3 linked regions of the Alligator mississippiensis genome follow. The protein of the gene in region 2 purifies or fractionates together with the protein of the main gene of each other region. This does not show direct contact. Links are inferred from orthologs where the notes say so. Each region holds a gene or a part of one and is shown on either strand. Other genes may lie near its edges. The genes, in order: EIF2B5, EIF2B1 and EIF2B3.

Region 1 (7,414 bases), on a different chromosome or scaffold from region 2:
TTTCTCTCTCAGGCTATTTTCCTGTTTAGGGGCATTATGCTTTTTTAATATGCTACAGCTTGCATCTGAGAACTAATAAGATCTCAAAGGACTACTCTACCATTGTACGGACTAGTTTGCGGACAACATTATTTCCACGCTTAGTTTTCTATTCTACAGCCACTTCCTCTGCAGCAATTCAGAAGCTGGCACATCAACCTCCACCCCAACCTCCTGGTCTTAGAAAAGAAGCAAGGCAGCATCACACTGTCCACTAGTTCACTGTTAGAGTAACTTTTAAAAATCTCCTCCATTAAACATAAATTGAGCTTCTAATCGAGTTCCCATGCATCTGTGTCACCTCCTTTACGTTCTCTCCTGTGCAACTCCTTTCTGTTTTGGGGTACTTCGTTTTTTCATGTGCTGTCAATAAGGCTTTAACAAAAGCTTACAGATCTTGATTAAGGCCAGAAGGAACTTTTATATCACCCATTCTGATCTTCTATATATTACAGGCCTTTAAATGTCATTCGGTTACTGCTACATTGAACCCAACAACTTGTACCTGTCATAAGAATATAAGTAGTGCTGTACTGGGTCAGATCAACAGTCCATCTAGCCCAGTATCGTGTCCCCGACAGTGGCAGTAGCAGATGCTTGGGATGGGGAGTTTGCAAACTGAGTACCCCTGTGTCATCCGTATTCGGGCCTTAGTTAGTTTCTCATGGAGGTATTCCATTACGGATGCTGCTTGTTGGGATAATTCACCTTTCAATACACAGAGAGCTGTTGCCACCTGTGTGACCAGGGTGGTAGATCAGACTTGGGGACTTTCTCCTGATCTTCAGCCAACTGAAACGCCTTCTCAAGACACGCCCCAACCAGTGGACCTGCAGCATCTCTGACTATGCTAGTCCTGGCTCTGCTAATGGATTTCAATCCTACCCTTCCCCTCTTTACTAATTAAGCAGTGGGGGGTCCCAACACAGCTTCGTTAATACAAAGGTGTCTTTGAGCCTGAAAAGGTTAAGAACTACTAGTTTATCCCAACCATGCAACTGGTCCAATAAACCGTCACCCACAAAAATACTCATGTCTTGAGTATTTCCTGGACCATCACGGCTATATCACTTGAACTCGGTCTCTCACTGCGAGGTCTGCCTTAACATCTTGCCTAAAGTGTGGCGATATGCATGGCTAGACAGGGGATATACGTTCCAGATCCGACGCACAGACCAGTCGCACATTCTGGATCTGGGACGGGCGTCGTGTGCAGCGCAGTCCTGCTCCTGCCACTCACCGGCCGTGCTGCACAGCTCTGAAGCCCCCACCACATGCAACTGTCCTAGAGCAGCACACGGCTGCTTCAAGGCTGTGCTGCACGTGGTGGCCACTCTGTGAAGAGAGCTGTAGTGGGCACTGCATGCAGCAGATGAGGCTATCAAGTGAGCCCTGCATGTTCCCTGTAGATCACTCTGAGACTCACAGACAGCAGCAGGGGCTGGACAACATGGCTCTCTGGGCCAGATCCAGCACATGGGCTGCATCTTTGACGCCCCGATCTACAGTGACCCCTGCCATACCTTCCCTGTCATCCAGCACCCTTAGCTTAGAGATGCCAGGATTTACATCCCTGACTGTTCAGGTAAAAGACTACCGCACACCTCCAGAAGAGTACCCAGTCAGCTGGAAAATTTCAAGGAATGGAGAATCCACCACTTGGCCATTTGTTCCAATGCTCAATCCCTTGTACCAACAGAATATGCATTTTATTTATCATTTAATTTTGTGTCTGGCTTCAGCTTCCAGCCCCTGGCACTGGCTATGCCTTTCTCTGCTAGACTAAAAAAAACTATTAATATCCACGATAGTTTTTTAGGGACATTTTTCATGTTCCAAGCCAAATCAGCCAAACCCATTCCAAATCCGTGTCATTCAAGAGCCACGTGCAGGCCCGGCTACCAGCAAACATCCTCCATCCCCGCCTGGGGCTTCAGACGCTTCCAAATCATTTGGCGGACGTCCTATATGGAGGCCTGAGCCTGGAGGCTTAGGGTTTGGATGCCCCCGAGTTTTGCTTTGCATATGGCTGCAGAAGCAAGTCAGGGGACTCTCTATCGTGGACCATTATACCTGCTGGGCTCAGCACGTGATGAAATGATGTGGGGTCTGGACATGATGATCTTGCGAGGTCCCTTCCAGCCCTAATGTCTATGAAATCTATGAAAGAAACCCTCTGCAGTCAAACTCCTTTTTGGCCACCTGAGGTTTGAAATGCCGAGGCTTCTCCCATACTACCAATAGGCTCTCAAAGAAGAAAAAAGTTTTCCTGGTGGAAAACATCACGGCAGCTTCCCCCTCCAAAACTGCTCCTCCAGGCCGCCGGCTATCGGCCCAGCAGGACCGGGCGGGAGCTGGCAGCAGCCCACTCCCGGCAGGGCTTCTCCCAGAACAAGCCCCGAGCCTGGGTTCGTCGACTAGCCCGACGTCTCTCTCCGTTCAGATGCTGCACGAGCTACACCTTAGGGAGCTCCCACGGCAACCCGCTCTTTGCTTTCCACATGCGACGTCCAGTCCGTCCTCGCCAAGCCGGTCTGGGCGCTCCGGTCCTCGGGAGGCGGGGCTGGCGATCTGCTGGCGTGACAGCGAGCACGGGGAGCTTGACATCCGCGCACAGCCAAGCCGGCGTCTTCTCCCGTCGCACGTGCGGCCGCAGACACGAGCCCCTGGGCGCAGACGAGCATCCCCCAGAGGATCCCCACTAGAAACACCCCCCCAGCTAGGACAAGCCTCTCCCTGTGGCGGATGGGGTCACCGCGCACCCCGGCCCACGGAGGAGGGCAGCGCCGGGGGGGACCCCAGGTGCCGGGGCCCGGTGGTGAGGCTGGGCGGGGGGGGAGGGGTGTCCCGGCCGGCCCCTCTCACCCGCGGCCGGTCCTTGGAGATGGGGAAGAAGCGGCGGTTGAAGCTGTCGGCAACCAGCACGGCCTGGAGCGGGGGCGGCGGCTCCTCTTGCGGCTCCGGCCCCCGCGCCCCACCGCTCCCGCTGCCCCGCTTCCCGGGCCCGCGGGCCGCCATCTCCTCACGCGGCCTCATCCGCCACTTCCGCTTCCGGGCCCGCTCCGGAAGGAGCAACGGCAAGCCGGCGCGGACACACTAGGCGCGCTGAGACGCTCCACGTGGCTGTCGGAGTGTGGCGCCTGCGCAGGAAGGCTGCAGACGGCGTGGAGGGCGCCCGGGCAGGCAGCGCATGCGCAGAGAGCAACTTGCTGTGCCTGCAGTGCAGCGGGCAGAAGCCGGGCTACCCCGCGCATGCGCAGGGGTATTACTCCAGCCCTTGTCCTGTGCTGCAGCTGACCCGTGGCTCCAGGAGCTGTGTGGGGCTCCGCCTTGCGCTACCAGGCTTGCTCTTTAGTGAAAGAAGCTACAAGTGCGGCAGGATGTCAGTGAGAAAATTACGTTCTCTCTTGGGCTGAAGGGGAGTCCCCTGCTCAGCCTAGCAGGTGCACAGGGCCCTGGGCCTTGGCGCTGATGAGTGAAAAATTGTCATTTCCTAGGTCAGATCATAGGTCCCTCTCGCCTGGTCACACAAGGGCAGAGAGCGGATGCTGAAAGGGAGAGTGAACCGGGTCTGACTTCAGACCAACTGAATAGCTGGGGAAAAGTTCTTTGCAAGTGTTCGGGTGCAATCGCCCTTCTTCAGGCCGAGGGAGACTGCTGGGCTGAGATGCCCAAGGAGTGAAAGAAGCTAAAAGTGTGATGGGATGTCAGTACGAGATTGCAAATAGGTGGGAATTACAATCTTAATGACATCCTGTTACACTTTTAGATCACTCCTTGGAGATCTCAGACCAGCAGAGACCCCCCGTGCCTGAAGAAGGGTGTTTGTGCACAAAAGTTTGCAAAGAACTTCTTTCCGACTACTCAGCTGGTCTAACGAGATATCACATCCACCCAAAGAAGCTTGTCTGCCTGCGTCCTTAGACCAACACGGCTACAGCCGAAAACCCTGGGTGTAACGGGGTTTTTTGCCCTGTTGCTCTCACTCGAAGCCTCCCTTCACCAAAGGTAATGGTGATAATAATTGGATGATGGGGGAAAAATACCATCTTCGGGCCCCCTTTCTGTCTGGGTCCCAGTTCGCCCATGCCTGTGTCCGGTCCTGCCCACACGTGGCTGCTGGAATACAGTTGGCATGCAGGGCACATCTGTGCTTTACCAAAGGGATGATTGCAGCAGGTGTTGAAGGCAAGGCAGAATTGCACCTTACTGACTAACTATATCAGAGGTACATCAGTTTTTGTAAGCAGCAGCTGACTTCACCTGGCAGTTGAGCAGGTGTAGTCATACCAGCCCTAGTATTAGCTAGCATGGGGAAGAGTAGCCGTGAAATATTGCGTTGTGCACTTCAGGATCGCTATCTTACTGAGGATCTACTGTAGCCGCTAATGCTTACTGAAGTGCCTGTTGATATGCCTTGCTTATTGCTATCCAAGCTAGGTGGGTGAGAGCGAGCTCAGGTACATCAAAATGTGCTGCTGTCACATCTCTACTGCAGTGTGGACCTAGGTACAGACTTGCCAAGACACAGACACAACTTTGTCCATCCATATACTTGTGCGCACACACATGGACACTCGGACACAGCTTGCCATACGGCACATGCTCCCTGCCCCCCATGGGCTCGTTCATTGAAATGAAAGCTTGATAGCAAGGTACAGAATAGCATGGCATGAACATCCCCTGCCTAGTCCTGCTAATATATTTCTGTATGTACCTGCAGCATCTCCCACTATTCTAGTCCTGGCTGCTTTACTAGTTCAGCTGTGCAGGACCACAGCTGTGCTAACACATCTCCACACTTTAGATGAGATGTTGACAAAGGAGAAGGTTCAGAGAAGCCCTACAAGAATGAGCCAAGGTCTGCAAGGCAGACCTCACAGCAAGAGACTTAAAGGCTGCATCCAGATGAATGCAGGCATTTGGTTGCCCAGGGACAAGGAGCAGCAGCAGGACACCTTGTGCCACTGCTAGCTGTCCCTGGGGAACACTACGTGCCCTCTAGCACACAGCATGGCAGGTTACTTTGGGTGGAGTTGGGGAGGCTGGGGCCAGCAACTATGCCGGCCCCAGCAGCCTTATCTGGGGTCTTGGGGGCTGGGGAAGTTGTAGCCATGTTGCTCTTGCAGCTTGGAGCCTGGCCAGCAGCTGGAGTGTGACTCCGACCAGCCAGGCTCTGGTTTTGGGTGGCACATGTTGTCAATGTGCTAACCTGCTTTTTTTCTGCATGGGCTTTTTTGAGCCTTGGATTTCCAGGGGTCAAACCCCCGCACCCCTGCTCTGCAAAGTAACATCACGGAAAACTCTCAAATGTGTGGTGTGTGTACCACATACCATACGGCTGCACTCATCTGGACATGGCCAAGGAGATCAAGTGATGTCGTAGCCACAATGGTCCTGGAAACACGAGAAGCAAGAGTGTTCGTGGGTGACATGTTTTATTGAACCAACAGCATGGTTGGGATAGACCAGTAGTTCTCAGTCTTTTCAGACTCAAGGCCCCCTCACTGAACTCCAGGCACACCTTGGAAAATGCCAGCTCTAAGTTTTCGATCCTTTTTTTGACCACAGAAAGATACTGGAGCCATTCTTCTGTTGCAAAGGACTCAGAAAGAGCACAACAGATCAGAATGTTTTTACCACTATGGATTCCTAATGAAATCTCTGGGTTTATCTTGTGAATCAAGTTTGCACACCTAACAGTACTAACATTGCGTGGTGCCCTGTGGCACCCTTGATAGGATCTCAAGGCACCCCAGGGTGCCGTGGCACCCTGGTTGAGAATGATTGGGATGAAATTAGATAACTTTTCAAATGTAGTGCATTCTTCTTCAGGAGCTCTACCTACTTTGCTGATCAAAGAGAAGGCTAAGTGTGAATTTGCTCACCATCTATAATTATCATAGTGCAGATAAAGACTATCTGAGGCTAGAAGTTTCTTCTGTTTAGCAAATAAAGACATAGCAGGATTCAATTTCCGCAAGCTGAAGCCAGGCAAATTTAAATTGGAAATAAGGTACAAACACCACAAGTAATTAACAGTGAGCATAATTAATTGCCAGAACAGCTTCCCAACTGACAGAGGGTAGATTCTCTGCCACTTGATGTCTTTAAATCAAGACCAGATGTCTTTCCAACATATGTGCTCTAGTTCACCCACATATTAAAGTGTTCGATGCAGGAATCGCTGGGTGAAATTGTATGGCTTGAGCTATGCAGGAGGTCAGACCTGATCCTTAAGTTCCTTCTGTTCTTGGCATTTATATGAGTATTGATATCTGAGGCATCTCCACAGCTGGACAGGTTTTCTCTTGAACTTTCCCAAGATTTCATACTTTCCATCTACCCTCCTGTCCTGCAGTAGTGTGCTGAGGAGGGGCAACTGGGGCAGCAGCCAGAGGAACTGGCTTTGTTGGAGGGGGACACAAAAATATACTCTACTGTCTCGGCGCTGTGGCAGTGGACACTGCCCCATGCACTGCAGCTTCCTGGAGTACGGAGCTGCCCTGTTATGCTTCTGCTGTCACAGCGGCTTTTTGAAATCAGTGTTCCTCCTTGTAACCCAGAGTTGTTTGCTAGAAACCTGGGATGGTGCAGAGGATGCAAACTGCATTTGTCTGCCCTCTTTACCTGCTAGCTCCTCACAGCAGGAAATCAGAGCTTCACTGGAGACTCCCTGCTGCTTTCAATATGGACAACTAAGAAGTGAGCAAGTGGAAGAGGCAAGACATGGCATTGAGGTAATACGTTCTTCCTGAAAACAGATGCATAGGACATGAAGACCAGAGGTTTTGGGAGAAAGTGTGGCTTGGTTGGATGACAGGAAGATAAGGTGTGCAGGAAAGGGCAAAGGGTAAGCACCTGAAAGACATAGAGAGAGAGGTAACAGCTCTGGTGCACCAGCGCTTTCTTTTTAACTTGTTGCTACTCCTCCAGTTAACTGTTCCCCCAATCCCATCATGGTAGGTGCAAGCAGACTGCTGCAGGACAACAGCTTTTGGAGGGAGTCCATGAAGCCTATTGCTGTGTTGGCAGTGGGGGGTTGGCCAGGACATTCATAGCTCACTGGGCTCCTTCCAAAACACCCAACCATACAAATCAGCCCGGCCAGCAGTTTTCCCAAGGCTGTCACGAGGCAGGAGTGAAGCAGTCAGCACTACTCAGTGTCTGCCCTGCAATGGACTGCCAGGTACAGGCATGATGAGTTGTATACGCATGAGTCAGGCTTAGCAGAAAGCGGAGCGTCAGATGAGCAGTGTGGGGCGAGAATGCTTTCAAGGAGAACCTAGAAACAAGACAGGCCATTTCTCTTTGCTTGGATCAGACCCCCTGCACCTCCCAGAGCTTTCATCTGCTGTTCTTCCAGCATCTGCCT
Region 2 (7,160 bases):
CTAGAAGAACAAGAGATTTCCTAATATCTATGAAGGTAATGAATAAGCTTACCCTACAGCAGCATCCAGAATCACGGTAACAGGGATGTTCAACTTGCTGAGTGCCTTTGCCATTTTTTGCCTATGAAAATAATGTTTATGAAGTTGAAAAGGCTTTCTTGGAAGACAGTGCTGGTGAAATACAATTAATATAGTTGAAGTACTATATGAAAGACTGAAATCTAACTGTGGGTCTCTACCTTCCCACATCCTCCTTCCTCTGTACATGCAATCATTCTGCTTTAAAGAAGTAAGTTGTGTGATAATACACAACAGGTGAGAACCAAAAAGGGAATTAGTTGACTGTAAGGGAGATAATAAATAGACCATATACAGAGTAAGGTGCAAGATTCCTCACTAATCATTCAGCTTAAACAGCTGTAGGCATCACACATAAGTTGCACACAATTTAAGTCAGGGGTGTCAAACATGCAGCCTACAGCAGGTAGAATTGGTCTGCAATAGGAGCTGGACCTGATGTCATGGGATTTACACAGGGGTCACTCTGGGGCATAAGCTGTATGCAGCACCTGCATCAGAACAACCCTGTGCACTGGCTCTGGGACCAGTCCAGATGGGGCAGCGCTGGAGTCAGTATGCAGGGCTGGCCCTCTGTGCCATGTGGTGTGCCTATGGACCAGGTATAGCCTGTGCACCATGTGCCAGCCCTGCTCTGGGGCTCGTGCTGCTTGTGGTGTGCAGGCTGAACCCAGTGCTGTAAGCACTGCCTGTTGCAGAGGAGGCTGGCACAGAGTATGCACCATATGCATTACTCCACTGGACAGTTCTCCACGCTCGCTGAAGGATGCACAAATGGCCTGGGGCCTGACCCCAACTAGCCCTGGAGCCAGCACTTGGGGCTGGTCTGGTGGGGTGCCACATGCAGCTGAATACTTTATGATGCTGATGGTTACAAGAATCACTGCTTCAGGTTTTTCTGGTTTTTTTTTAACTGACATCTTAAATTGACTGCACCACTGCAAGCAACCACCCAAGCCAGAAATCTGTTTGCATAGCAATGGTTAATTTTTAAAGTTCTGGTAAATTTTCTGCAAACATTAGTGATGTTGGAATTGCTTCTTGCAGTTCTTACTGAAGTGTGTTTATACATTTCCTCTCAAGGAGGACATAATGTTTTGTCAGAGCAGTTGTTGCCTTTTAGCAGCATTTAAAAAAAAGGGGAAAAGCTTCTTCCTGATAAAATGAGAACTGACCTTAAAACTAACTTCTTTTACTAATCAAGAAGAGAGTAGTGACAAGTACTTGCCCTGCTTGATCTGGCTGTGATTCTGTAACGTAAACTCTGAAACGCTTCTTTGACTCTGCAGCTGCTTCTAGCACTCTGAGGACCACTCTTGAATAGGCATGGGTTAATATTCGCTGTCAAAAGGAGAGATGGAGTTTCAGGAAAGCCTGGCTGTTAGGATTTCTTGTGCTACTTTACTATGCACAGGTATTTTAAAGCATTGGTTTCAGTTACAGGTTTCCCTTGCCAACCATGGTTTTAAGTATTCATGCTTAATATTCTATACACCATTTTGGCTACCACAGTATACAGTTCTGAGTCACCATGGTTTTCCGTGGCTGTGCATCAGCCTGCCACCTGCCATTTTTCCCATAAGCCTTTTGTCTTGCCAACCGCGGGAACTTTCAGGAACCTAACCCCAGCGGTTGGCAAGGGAAACCTGTACTTGAGGTGCCTACTGAGATTTTTATAAAAAGTGAGCATTTTACGAGTTAGAAATAGAGCTTAATGGTAGGTTTCCCAGAAGTGTTTTTACAGCGCACGGCACGTCAAGTCATTGCATAAACCTTGACTTTTTTTAACTGATGTCTTATTGCAAGCAACCACCCAAGAAACCCTGGCACTGAGAGGGACCGAGAAGTCACCGCTTCCAATGCTTGAATGAGACGATCTGGTTGTCAGCATCAGGCCAGAAGTTCAACCTCAGTTTGCGCAGAAACAAAGGTGGAGGGAGAGGACAGAGAAAGGGAGTCTTAGGAAACACAGGAAGATCTGAACTTGTGATGCAAACAAAAATACGATGATCAGGAAACTTTATTTCTCCTTACTTGAGAGAGCCCACATCAAATCATGCGATCACCCTGAACACAAGGGAGTAAGATTTGGTCACCCTCCCCTTCTGCCTCCTGCCCAAACAGCGGAGCCCCAGAACCGGTGCAGCGCCCGCGTTGCACTTACAGCACCGTCTTTGATGAACGGGTGGCAGAGCTTCGCGATTTTGTTTCTGGAAAGAGAGATTCTCCTGAGGAAGATCTCCCCTCGCTCGATCATGATCTCTTTGCACTTGGAGTAGTCCTGCAAAAAGCAGCGAGCATGGCGAGTGAGGGTTGGGAATCCCTTCCGCCGCGCCGGCGGCCGCGGGCTCTTACCGTGTACTCCAGCGAGGTGAGGCTGATGAACCGGAGGAAGAGCTCTCCCCCAGAGGAGACGGCCACTGAGGAGTCGACGCCTGAGAGCATTTCGATGGCGTTTTTGAGGTTTGCGCGGAAGCCCTGCATGGTCTCCTCTGAGAGAGGGAGAGAGGTGCGGTTTGGGCATCGCGGCGAGGGCACCGGCTGGCGCCCCGACGGCTCTGCCCCGCGCGCGCAGCCCTCCTCGGGGACATCACAGCTCCCCCCACCCACCCACCCACCCACCGCAGACCGATCCTGCACAACTGCACACGGTTCTCCTGCTCGAGAGCAGCTAGCACCGGCGCGGATACGCCCGGGGCGGGAGGGGGGCAGCCACCTGTGTCTCTCTTGAGGAACTCGAGCAGGGCGCGGATGGCGGCCACGGCCGAGGCCAGGTCCGGGTCATCCCTCGTCTGCGCCTTGAAGGCCTCGATCAGCGCTGCAAGGCAAAGGCGGGGTTCAGCGGCCTCCCGGGTCCCGCTCTCCCCCAGCCCCGCCGCGCCCCGCTACCTGCTCGGTCCATGGCTCCGCGCATCCCCTTGTGACACCAGGAGGGCGCCGGAAGTAGCGGGGGACGGTCATTGCGCGGCGCCGGAAGTGGCGGGCGGTGGGCGTCATCGCGCGGCGCCGGAAGTGGTGGTGGTGGTGGTGGTGGCGGCGGCGGTGGGGGGCGGGCGTGCCGGGCAGGATGAGCTTGGCCGGGGCGTGCCCCGTCCCCCGCGGCGCGGCCGTGCCCGGCCTCACGCCCGTTGCCTTCTCAGAGGACGAGCTGAGCCTGCTCGTGGCGGTCGTGGACGCCAACCCCATCTGGTGGGGGCAGAAGGCGCAGGGAGGCGGCGAGGTGAGAGGCAGCCCCCCGGGGGACGCGGCTGCGCCCTCAGCTCCTGCCCTCGCGTGTGCGGGCCCCAGGGCGCCCGTCGTGGGCTCCCGGCTGCGGAACGCTCCTTGGGTGGGTGGCTCGCTCGCAGCTGCAGTGCGGGGAGGTGGCCCCGGGGTCCGGCACCCCTTACCGGGACATCCCGTCTCAACAGGAATGGCGGTGTGCGCTGAAAGCGGGGCCGACAGCCTCTCCCCGCCTGCGGTCCAGTCGCTTATTCCACCCTTTACCATCCGCCCGTTAGTCGGGTGCTGCGGTTTGCTGCCTTCGGCCCCGGTTGTCAGGAGCGTGGAGCGCTCGAGCGTGTGCTTGGAGTCGCCAAAAGCTGCAGGGGCTCGGCACGGCTGAAGCGAGGCCGTGCTGTTCTTGGGTCGGGCGCCCCGGTCGCGTTAGGGGATGCACGGGTGTTTGAAACTCTGCTCGACTCATCTCTGTTGAACAGAGGAGACTTGAACAGAGATTCAAACACACATTCGTGCATCCCCTTACGCGACCGCGGCTCTCCTCTCCTCCCAGAGTTATTGTGAGCGAATAACTGATCTCTCTCGCTGTTTTTTGAAGATTTTGAGCCCTATCCACGTATGGTTCTAGTGCTACATATTTCTGGAGCGTCACTGATGCTTTCTGTCCTTCAGAGGGAATTTGCTGCCTCCTTTCAGCTTCTCACCTTTGTGAATATCGAACTCTGAGGAAGGCATTACTTTGAGGGAGTGCTTTGTTTAGCGTGTTTTTGTTTCAGATGGTGATGGTGCTAAACCACGTGTTTTCCTCGCTCCTTCACGCATTGCGCCTTGTCTTTTTCTGTTTTCCCAACAGTTTACGTTGTCAAAATGCCTGGATGCAGTGATGGTGATGGGGAATTCGCACTTGTTCATGAATCGCAACAACAGACTTGCTGTGATTGCAAGCCATACACAAGAAAGGTACGGTAACTTTTATGAATAGCATCACTACTGTTATAATTTCCCACCCACGTCTCTTGCCTGAATTTCTTGCTCGGTGTGTTGCAAAGAATAATTGGCATCAGATTTAAATATATAATGTTTAATTTAAATTTAGACCTATTTTAAATAGGCTTAAATACCCTATTAAAATGAGTGAAAACAGACAGGGAAGGGATTTGGGGACTAATACAGAAAAACAAGTGGAAAAACAGTATAGGTTTTTAAGGCTTTGGAGAAGTGGGGATTGCTGCACTAAAGGAACAAAAGGAGGTTGTTTTCCTGTCTGACCTTTCCATTCAAAGCTACTACTACTTTCTGATCTAAGAATAAGAAACGGGAGGTTGATCCCTGCATTCAGGTAGTGTCTGAAGACTAGTTCTCCTCAGAGTGTCTCTCAGAGAGCCTTTCCACCAGGACATCCTTACACTGCGTAGAGCTTTAAAAAGACTCCTTACTCCATGGTGACCATTGCTTAGAATGAAATGTCACCTTTGACTTTCACTTTCTATGAGCGGCTCAATTTGTGGTTGTAACTCAGTTGTTATTAAAGTAACAGGCAAATACTGTGTTGCTGGTTCTCTTTCAGTCGTTTCTTATACCCTGGAAAGCGCTGGGCATTTGCAGATCTCTTTGGAGATGGTGGCAGCTGTGTAGAATCTAATTGCGCTGGCAGCAAGGATGGAAAATACGAATTATTAACTGCAATAAATGAAACAATTGCAGAGGAGATTAAAGACCTCATGACAAAAAGTAAGATGATCTTCTGTTAAAGAATGTAGTGGTTTCTGTAGCATGCTTAGTTTTTAGTGCCATCAGATGAGGGGAAGTATTATTTTGAAATGTTATATGCAAAGGAAATGCTTCAGGAGATTATACTATATGATAGACTCTCCTTTGCTTCTGTCTTCTGAAGCTTATTCTCCCCTTTCATTATGAGAATGTGCTTAAGGCCAATGAGACGCTGAGAAGTTCAGCACTTTTAGAGCCAGCCTTTAATGTTTTGTCCAGGAAAAATTGATCGAATGAACTGTATGGCATTAGATAAGGGAATGACTTTATTCAATAACCAGTTCTGTGCATTTTTATATTACAGCTGACGTGAAGGGCCAACAAACAGAAACTTTATTGGCAGGATCAATTGCCAAAGCACTTTGTTGTATCCTTCCCATAACTTCCCATTTAGAATATCTTTCTCTTTAAAAAAATAAATACATGCGAAAATCTTTCTTGTGCTGGACCCATATTGCTACCAGAAACCTTGCACTCTCTTGGTAGTAGTCTTAACCCCAGTATGTTTTTGTTTTCAGTTCTGACTTCTGAATATCATAGCTTGAGAGCTGAACTTCTGGTAAAGTTGTGCATGTTGGTTAAACTGTTTATTGCAGGTATCATATTTCCTCTCTTTTGTTGTTTTAAACGACTTATACATCTGTTTCTCAAGTGTTCCTAGAATAAAATGTTATTTCCTGAATAAAAGCTAATACAGATATTCACAGGCTGACCAAGGAGGTAAAAGGTACTTTTTTCTGTTGTTTGCATATTTTTCTGAGTGTTAGAATTAAGAGGAGGAAAAAATGCAGAGCTTTTCTTAGCTGGCTATAGTGGAGAAGTAAGGGTTTGTCCCAATCTTTTACAGGTGTACAAATTGAATTTTGACTGCAGATTGGTAGACGAGGAAAGAACATGCAAGAATTGTATGGCTTTAGCAAACATGTTAGAACTTTAAAACCAAGCACAGAAGGTCAGCTCTAAGGAGAGGGAAATCTTTCCACATGTAGAGCAAAACTTTGAATTCGGCAGTTACAAAGTACTACACTACCGTCTACCCTTCAGATTCAAGTTTTATACTCAACAGTTTCAAAAATGAATTTGGATACTGCTGCTTGTATTCTGTGGCTTGATTATGTAAACCAGTCTTAAAGTAAACTCTCTATTTAGCTTTACAGAGAAGTGGTGTAAAGTACCATCAGAACAGCTTTAAAAACCTGTGATCCAGTCTCTGTTTGACCGAGTAAACTGACAGTGAACCACACTGAAATTGTCTTTGTTCTTCATCATCCAGTTGCTTTTTAGGAATGAATGTGACAGTATCCACTTTCACAGCAACTCTGAATTTATTCTGGTGACTTCTGCTAGAGGTTTAGCTTCATCTTCTCATATTTGGTCTTAGTATGACTAAAAACAGTCTCTTGCTTTCATTCAGGTGTTAAACTAAAATGTAGAATTAGGAGGACAGAATACTGGTGGTTAATCGCATACTTATGGGATACTAATGCATGTTTTTTTTTATGTCTCCAATATGTAGCCAACCAAGAAATAAAATCAAGAATTTTGGTAAGAACTTTTGCCTTCAGTTGTCTTAAACGGCTTTAAAATCCAGTAGTCTTGTCTGTGCAATAATGGTTGTTGTTTGCTTTATTCAGGTTATAAAAGCTGCAGAAGACAGTGCATTGCAGTATATGAATTTCATGAATGTGATCTTTGCAGCACAGAAACAGGTGAAGTTACTGTTTTATCAGGTGGTTAACTATTTGGGTATTTTTTTCAATATCAACACACTCAAACATAAAAAGATTGTCACTGTTGCATTATGTGCTTCTAGTTTATGGGATCTTTTGGGAGAGGTGAGCATCTTCACCCTCAGGGAGAAAGTGTTTGAGCTAAATGTAGGTGCATGTCATTGCACTATAACACAAAAAGGCTACCAGGTCTGCCCAAGATTGCTACTGAGGTCCAGACCCCACTTTCCTACATCTTATATATGTGGTACGTTGGATAAGCTTCAGCCATCAGTCCTTGCCTAGCCATTTGGTGGGGAGGAAGGCTGGAACATGCAATACACACTAGAGTTCAAGAGCTTCAATTTGGGTGTAAACTCAGGG
Region 3 (7,678 bases), on a different chromosome or scaffold from region 2:
TGCGTGCCAATTTTATGTCCACATACAAGGTTTCAGAGACCAATGCTAGAACCTAAATGATTAAGTGGAGCAAGGAAGTAAGGAAAGAGGAAATTACTGTTGAAAAGGGGTCAAAGAATGGTCACAACAAGAAGGAAGAGGATTTAGCAAGAGGTTTAATGAGGTGAAAGGAAGGGAAGGAAAATCTAGGCTGAATACCAGGGAAGAACTACTGCAGGTGATATTCGCTGGGTTGCAGACCAGTCTCCCAAGGGAAGGGGCAGTACGTTTTAAAGCAAAGCAGAAAAAGGCACAAGAAATGCTGTATTGTGCAGAGAACTACAGCCGGTCCCAACCTCTACTGTTTAGCAACTGGCAATTCCTCACCTTCAAATCCAACCCGCTCTAACAAATTTAGCGGGTACCAGATCAAAGGCTTGTTGCCTACTGGCAGCAGGGGCTTGGCGATGCTGGAGGTCAGGTCCATCATCCGCGATCCGCCACCGGCCGCCATCACCACTGCCTGAAACTCCATCTTTGCAACCTGAAACGGCAAGCACAGGGCAGTCTTAACCCCAGGGAACATGCTTCCCCCTAGTTCAGTCACCCGCATTACATCACAACGTTTCAGGTCAAAGGGCATCACCTGAATGCAAGCTCGACAAATCCCAGTCACTGTTTCTGTCCCTGCAGATTTCACCAGGGAGCCTCCAGGTGCTCGAATATGTGAAATTAAGGCCAAGAACACTGAGACGCACGATGAAATGGCAGGCAGCTTACTCCACGTACAAATGTGCCAGAAAAGGGCGTAACACTGACTAACAGCCCAATTTCCCACCTGCAAGGCCTCACTGCCATGACACTTGGCTGGTGAGTTAGTGGCTCTCCCCCTTTTCAGACTCCAGCCCCCTCACAAAATGCCAGCTTTTAACTTCCATTTGTTTTTTGACCACAGAAAAATACTAGAGCAATTCTTGCGTGGCGAAGAACGGGGAAGGCCCACAGCAGGGCAGAACAGTTCTTCAACACTCTGGATCCCAACTTGAAACCTCTGGTTCATTGTGCGAATTGCGTGTAAGCCTCTATGCAGCCAACAGTGCTGATGGCAAGGAGCTCCCTGTGGCACCCTTAGCGAGTCATTATGGTGCTCCGAGACCAGTGGCATCCCCCAAGGCTCTGTCCTTGGACTGGTTCTCTTCAACATCTTTACCAACGATGTGGACATTGGTGTCAGAAGTGCACTGGCTAAGTTTGCTGATGACACTAAACTTTGGGGGCATAGAGTCCACAACTGAGGACAGGCTGGTGATCCAGGCTGACTTGCATGAGCTTAGTAAGTGGGTGAATACAAACCTGATGACATTCAATACCGAAAAATGCAAGGTACTCCACCTCAGGGAAAAAAAACCCGCAACATGCTTATAGGCTTGGCAGTGCTACGCTCGCTAGCACCACAGCTGAAAGAGACCTGGGGGTCATGGTTGACCACAAGATGAACATGAGCCACCAATGCGATGTCGCAGCTGGTAAAGCAAACAAAACGCTGGCTTGCATCCAGAGATGCTTCTCAAGTAAATCTCAGGACGTCATCCTCCCGCTGTACTCGGCCTCGGTGAGGCCGCAGCTGGACTACTACGTCCAGTTCTGGGCTCCGCAATTCAAGAAGGATGTGGAGAGGCTTGGGAGAGTGCAGAGGAAAGCCACACGCATGATCAGAGGTCAGGAGAACAGGCCTTATGATGAGAGGCTGCGAGCCATGGGACTCTTCAGCCTGGAAAAATGCAGGCTTGGAGGGATCTGGTGGCTGCTTATAAGTACATAAGGGGTGTGCACCAGGATCTGGGGGAACGTCTGTTCACCAGAGCGCCCCAAGGGATAACAGGGACCAATGGTCACAAACTCCTCCGTGACCGTTTTAGGCCGGACATAAGGAAAAATTTCTTTACTGTCCAAGCCCCCAAAGCCTGGAATAGACTCCCCCCAGAAGTGGTGCAGGCACCTACTCTGCATTCATTCAAGAAACGCTTGGCTGCTTATCTTGCTGGGATCCTTTGAGCCCCGCTGGTTTCCTGCCCCTGGGGCGGGGGCTGGGCTCAATGATCTGCAAGGTCCCTTCCAGCCCCAACGTCTATGAAATCTGTGCATCTCTCAGCACTTGTGCTTTCTGCACGGCCGTCCGCTGCATCTGATGACGTGACCTTGGGTCCATGGAAGCTTGTGCTATGTATACACATACGTGTGTGCGTGTGTGTGCGTGCGCACACATATGCACACATCTAAATGTGTGCGCCTATGTTTGTAAATATATACACGTGTGTGTGCGTGCATGTATGTATATATACATACGTGTGCATATTACACACACGTGAATCTAAATGCACATGAATTTGTGCATATATACACGTGTGCATGCATGTGTATATACATACACACGTGCGCATCTAAATGCACATGCATGTGTGTTTGTGCATGTGTGCATGCATGTGTATATACATACACACGTGCACATTATACACACGTGCGCATCTAAATGCATGTGCATGTGTGTATGTTTGTGCATGTACGTATATACATACACGTGCACATTATACACGTGTGCATCTAACTGCACACACATGTTTGTGCATGTATATGTGTGCATGCATGTGTATATACATACGCACGTGCACATTATACACACAAACGTGTGCAGCTAAATGGCCGTGAATATGTGTTTGTGCATATATACATGTGTACATGTGCGCATGCATGGGTGTGTGTGTGTCTATACACACACACACACACACTCGTGTGCATCTAAATGCGGTTAATTCGTCTGAAGGAAGCGGCGAGCTGTCCGAAGTGACGAATTATCAGGAGTCGGGCGGCCGGGCGGCAGCGCAGCATCACCTCTCGTGACGAATAAACCGGAGCCACGGCCAGGCGCCGCCCCAGCCGCCGAGGACCGGCCCCGCACCCCCGTCCCGCGCGGCCCGGCCCCGCCGCCGCCGCCCCCTCCCTTCCCCTCACCTCACCTCGTCCCGCCGCCGCTGCCGCCTGCGCCCCTCACTGACAGCACCGCAATGGCGGCGCCGACAGTCACTGCGCATGCGCGGGAAGGGCTGCCCGCCGATCCCCGAAGGCATCGATCGCAGGGAGGAGCGCCGAGCCGCAGGAGCCGGGCTGCCAGGGGGGAGAAGAGAGCGCCGAGGCATAGATTCCTGGGGCGGAGCGCCGAGTCATCGATGCTGCCATGGGGCAGAGGCAGGGCTGCAGCTGGGGCAGGCTGCAGGGAAGGGGTGGTTTGCAGGGGTGAGGGTCTGCATTGCAGCAGACCCCAAGCCTCCCCGGCTGCAAAAGGCAGAGATGGGCTTCAGAATAACCTGGCTTGCTTGCAGGGTGCCCACTGTATTTACTGGCATACCACGCGCCACCCCAACAAGACACGCTGCTGTTGTGGGAAGGCAGATTTTTCCTTTGAACCGAACTGTTTGGTCTCAGTTTCCTCAAGTGCTCAAGTATCAATTGCTAATTTTGTGGGGGGGAGGTGCATGTGTAGAAGGTGCAAGTACAGTTGCAGTGTCAGGTGCTTTCCCAAGCTGTTAGCATCATGCTGTGCTCCTGCTTTCAAACTTTTCTCCACCCCTGGGAGGGCTGGCAGCTTCTTGAGATCTGAGACTGCATTTTACGTGGGAGCGGAGAGCTTAGATCATCAAGTGTCTCCATTACGAAGCCAAAGGTTGTGACAGCTGCACACAGGCTTGGTTCGAGCGAATGCATGGCTGCTGTTGCCGCTTTCAATGGAACAGTGACATGCTCGTTGCTTGGTACGGAGGACTTTATTCCCCAAGTAAATACTGTGATTGAGTTTGTCGTAAAACTGAACCAAGTTCTTAACAAGTGTGTTAATGGGACCTCTCTCTTCACTCCCGGCAGTCTTCAGTCCCAGAACTGCAGCATGTTCTGCTTGGCTGTCTCCCTCTCCTCTCCTGTTATCGTCGACTGGCTCATTGCTTTGAGGTGCCTGCTCCGGCCTGGTGGCTGGACCTCTCCTTTGGCAGCCTGGGCATCTCGACATCCAAGATACACATCACAGGCCCCCAGCAGAGGTGTTAAGCAGGAGCCTGGAGAAGCTGCTGCCATTTCTGCAGACCCTGGGGTCACCCTGCCGTTGCCTCCATGCAGCAGCCGGGATGGCTGTCACACACCTGCTATGAGCCTACTCTCTCACAGCATCAGGATAAGCGAAACTAGAAGATTGAAAATCCTTGAGTGGTTTGGCTCGGGCAGGGGGAGGAAGCTCCTTGGCTCTGTTGTCAGCTGGGTTGATACATGCTGAAATGCATCCTCTGGGAAGAGAGCATTTCAGGCAGAGAGCACATCCCCAGTCCTGGTGAGAGCTAAGAAAACATTCTGAATGAGACCCAGTGCAGCCTGAATTCCTGACACTGAAAATGGCCTGATGCAGAAGTAGAGTCTGGCCTAATGTACCCTCATCTAAAAAGAAGGTTGACTCTGAAGCCTAATGGTGGGGTTACCTAGCACTCCTTGCACTGCTGAGTGTTTCAGTAGACATGTCCAGCTGCTGTGGGAGTGCAGGGGGTAGGGGGGCCTGGCACTGAGCAGCTTTGCTTTTCCCTTTTTACTGATCCAATCCCACAGGTGCACCTATGGGGCATGCTTTTCCAGCCTACCCCATAGGGTCACGGGATCTGGGTCCTTATTCTCACCACAGGCATCACTCAGCCCAGCAGGTAGAATCATAAAATCACAGACAATGGGGGTTGGAGGGACCTCGGGAAGTCACATCTCATCCAAGCCCCTGCTCCAAGCAGGACCAGCCCCAACTACACTCTCCCAGCTAAGGCTTTGTTGAGCCAGACATTAAAAACCTCCAAGGATGGAGACTCCTCCACCTCACTGGGTAACCTGTCCCAGTGCTTCACCACCCTCCTTGTGAGAAAGTTTTTCCTAATATCCAACCTCAACTTCCCTTGCTGCAGCTTGAGCCCATTGCTCCTTCTGTTGTCTGCCCCCACTGAGACCAGCCCAGCCCCATCCTCTTTGCAACCCCCCTGCAGTGAGTTGAAGGCTGCTATTCAATCCCCCTCTCTTTTGCAGACTAAATGAGAGCAGTTCCCTCAGCCTCTCCTCACCAGTCCTGTCCCCCAGCCCCCAAACCATGTTCATTGCCCTCCACTGGACTTTCTCCAACTTGTGCATATCCTTTCTGTAGTGGGGGGCCACAGCCGGACACAGGACTCCAGATGTGGCCTCCCCAGTGCTGAATAGAGGGAAGAATCACTGCCCTCCATCTGCTGGCAACACTCCTACCAACACAGCCCAGGATGCTAGTAGCCTTCTTGGCAACAAGGATAATTCAAGGTCTCCTTTGCACTTCATAGCTTGCTCAGTGCAGCCACTTCTGGTGAGACGACACAAACAGCCGGTCCTGCTGGAGAAGCAAGGTGCATTCAGGAAGAGAAACAAAGCACCCGGTCTCCGGACCCAGCTGCAGATCTGGGGAAACTCAGGTCCTGGCAGAGCTGCCAGCATGGGGCACATGGCTCTCTCAGCTCAGGTGAAATCCATTGAGTCCTTCTGTGGAGCCAGCACTGGAGCCTGCCCTTCTTGGGGCAAACCCCCTAGTTTGTAGAACAAGGAACATATCCTTCTGGGGGCATGTGCTGTTCTTCCCCTTCTGCTTGGTGGGATCTGAGAGGGGAAAGGACCTGCTACGGGTCAGCCAAGAAGCGGAGCAGAGAACTGAGCTCTGAGCCTCAGAGTCTGGGGCTGGTTCTGATTGCTGGCCCTGCCTCTCCATTGCTCGGCCGTTATCCCTGCTGTCTCGGTACCAGTCTCTGTGGGAGCCAGCAGCTTCACACGCACTCTTCTTGCGGTGCCCCGATGCACCAGCCTTCTTGCCAGGCTCCTTCCCAGCTCTCTTGCGTTTCCCCTGGCCCAGCAAAGTGGCTCCGTCCCTATCTCTGAGGCTGGGAGCTCCTCGGGGCAGGACCTAAAATTACATCACAAAATTATGTCATGACAAAAGTCGCCAAGGCCGCCTGGCAATGCCCTTGCCCTGATATAACGGCCCTCGGAGGTAATTAAAACTTGCAGTGCAGTGGGGGTTCATAGATGCTCTAGAGACCCCAAGCAGAGGCCATGCCCCCACTGCAGAGGAAGGCAAAACTCCCCAGTGAGCACCAGTCTGAGCAGGAGGGAAATCCCTTCCTGCCCCAGTGCAGTGTTGGTCCGAGCCTGAGTGCAGGGGCAAGACCCTCCAGCCAGGACCCTGCGGGGTCGGTGCCAGCAGGAACACTGGCACAGCCCAGCCCCATCCCCAGCCTGGGCTGCAGCACCCAGCGCCTCTGGGGGAGGCTTAAACCCCCCTGACACATGGAGCAGCAGGAAGAGAAAAATTTCCCTCCCAGCCCCATGCAGCAACCAGCAGAGCCCAGAAGCCTGGGAAACCCCCATGGTCAAACATGGGCATCGCTGTGCCTAATCATCCCTGACCAGTGCCCATCCATCCTTTGCTTGCCCCCTCCGGTGCTGGGAGCCCACAGCCTTTCTGCACTGCCTCCCTGCTCTGCCAGTGACGTTTTCCTGCCACGCACTTGATCTGAGTCCCCGAGAGGCCGAGAAGCGATGCCTGTCACACCGCGCAGGCCTGCCAGCCGTGGCCCCTTTCTCCCCCCACTTCTCCCAATGACGTCTCTCCACACTGGGGACAGGGGATCTATCCTGACTGGGCTCCCATCCCCTCCTCTCAGGCGCTGCAATGTGTCCTGGGCCCTGGATGCACGCCAGCTCAGTGCATCCCGTCCGAGCGTGGGAATTGCCCTGCTGCCGCTGCAGCCAAGCATGGGGGCTGGATCCGCCCGTGGGGACTGACACGGTCCATTGAGCTCTGGGAATGCGGCAGGGGAGGGGAGCTGGGAAAGGGCGAGAGGCACAAACCGGAGTTGGACGACAAAGCGGCCCATCCGCTCCAGGGGGAATGCTCCCACCAGGCAGAGCGGGGTCTACGGCCGCCCCTCGAACCCTCGCCTGGCTCGGAGCTCCCCGGCGCTGGCTGCAGCACAGAACCAAGCAGAGGTCCTGCCTCAAAGCCCAGGCAGGGAGGGGAAAGATGCAAGAAGATGAAGTGACTTGCCTGAGGTCATGAGGGAATGCAGTGGCAGAGCTGGGATTACGGTCCCAGGTGCCCTGAGTGCCCCTCCGTTGCTCACCCCACAGCCTGGCAGCAGGAGCAGACTGTGCTGGAGGGGCAGAGGCAGGGCTGACCGGAGCAGACAGGTGTAGTGCTGCTGTCACATTAATAGAGGCGCAGGACAGGCAACAAGGGGCCGTCCTCCCCAGGGACACAGGTCCACGGATGGTCCAGCACGGAGCCAAAGCAGGAGAGACCACGGTCCTGGATAAACCCCGCGTAGGCAAGCAGCGACTGGGCAGGGGCTGCCTGGCTCCACTTTGACCCAGGACCCAGCCAGCAGCACCGTGACGGGGCTCCAGGCTGGCCCTGTCCTCTGGCTGCCGCTGGGCTGTGGCTGCTCAAAGCTTCAGGGCAGCTACTGCACCCTCCCTGCTGCCAAAGCCCCTGCCATTGAAGGGGAGTCTCCCTTTGCAGTACGGGGCCCATGACACACAGTGGAGCAGTTCTCATCATGACAAGCAGAGGGCAGCAGGTTGCTGCTGGCTCCTAAGGGTGCTGGAT

Evidence for each region.
Region 1: the proteins of EIF2B1 (region 2) and EIF2B5 purify together in Homo sapiens (affinity purification with mass spectrometry; 7 studies listed by BioGRID and IntAct, counting the BioPlex papers as one, with this or other methods). This does not show direct contact. The link is inferred for Alligator mississippiensis from reciprocal best matches to the Homo sapiens genes EIF2B1 and EIF2B5.
Region 3: the proteins of EIF2B1 (region 2) and EIF2B3 purify together in Homo sapiens (affinity purification with mass spectrometry; 7 studies listed by BioGRID and IntAct, counting the BioPlex papers as one, with this or other methods). This does not show direct contact. The link is inferred for Alligator mississippiensis from reciprocal best matches to the Homo sapiens genes EIF2B1 and EIF2B3.

The regions. Positions count from the first base shown.
Region 1 is NC_081830.1:83,910,999-83,918,412, forward strand, and holds the start of EIF2B5 (translation initiation factor eIF-2B subunit epsilon), read right to left. Parts: upstream 3,100-7,414; 5' UTR 3,076-3,099; coding exon 2,905-3,075; intron 1-2,904. UniProt on the Homo sapiens protein: Acts as a component of the translation initiation factor 2B (eIF2B) complex, which catalyzes the exchange of GDP for GTP on eukaryotic initiation factor 2 (eIF2) gamma subunit.
Region 2 is NC_081833.1:5,958,641-5,965,800, forward strand, and holds the start of EIF2B1 (translation initiation factor eIF-2B subunit alpha), read right to left. Parts: upstream 3,052-7,160; 5' UTR 2,993-3,051; coding exon 2,968-2,992; intron 2,897-2,967; coding exon 2,795-2,896; intron 2,571-2,794; coding exon 2,434-2,570; intron 2,360-2,433; coding exon 2,243-2,359; intron 1,420-2,242; coding exon 1,307-1,419; intron 122-1,306; coding exon 53-121; intron 1-52. Other genes in the region: GTF2H3 (general transcription factor IIH subunit 3), read left to right, coding at 3,146-3,298, 4,151-4,257, 4,865-5,028, 5,372-5,434, 5,765-5,794, 6,584-6,612, 6,702-6,776.
Region 3 is NC_081828.1:2,180,213-2,187,890, forward strand, and holds the start of EIF2B3 (translation initiation factor eIF-2B subunit gamma), read right to left. Parts: upstream 3,090-7,678; 5' UTR 3,069-3,089; coding exon 2,994-3,068; intron 524-2,993; coding exon 367-523; intron 1-366. UniProt on the Homo sapiens protein: Acts as a component of the translation initiation factor 2B (eIF2B) complex, which catalyzes the exchange of GDP for GTP on the eukaryotic initiation factor 2 (eIF2) complex gamma subunit.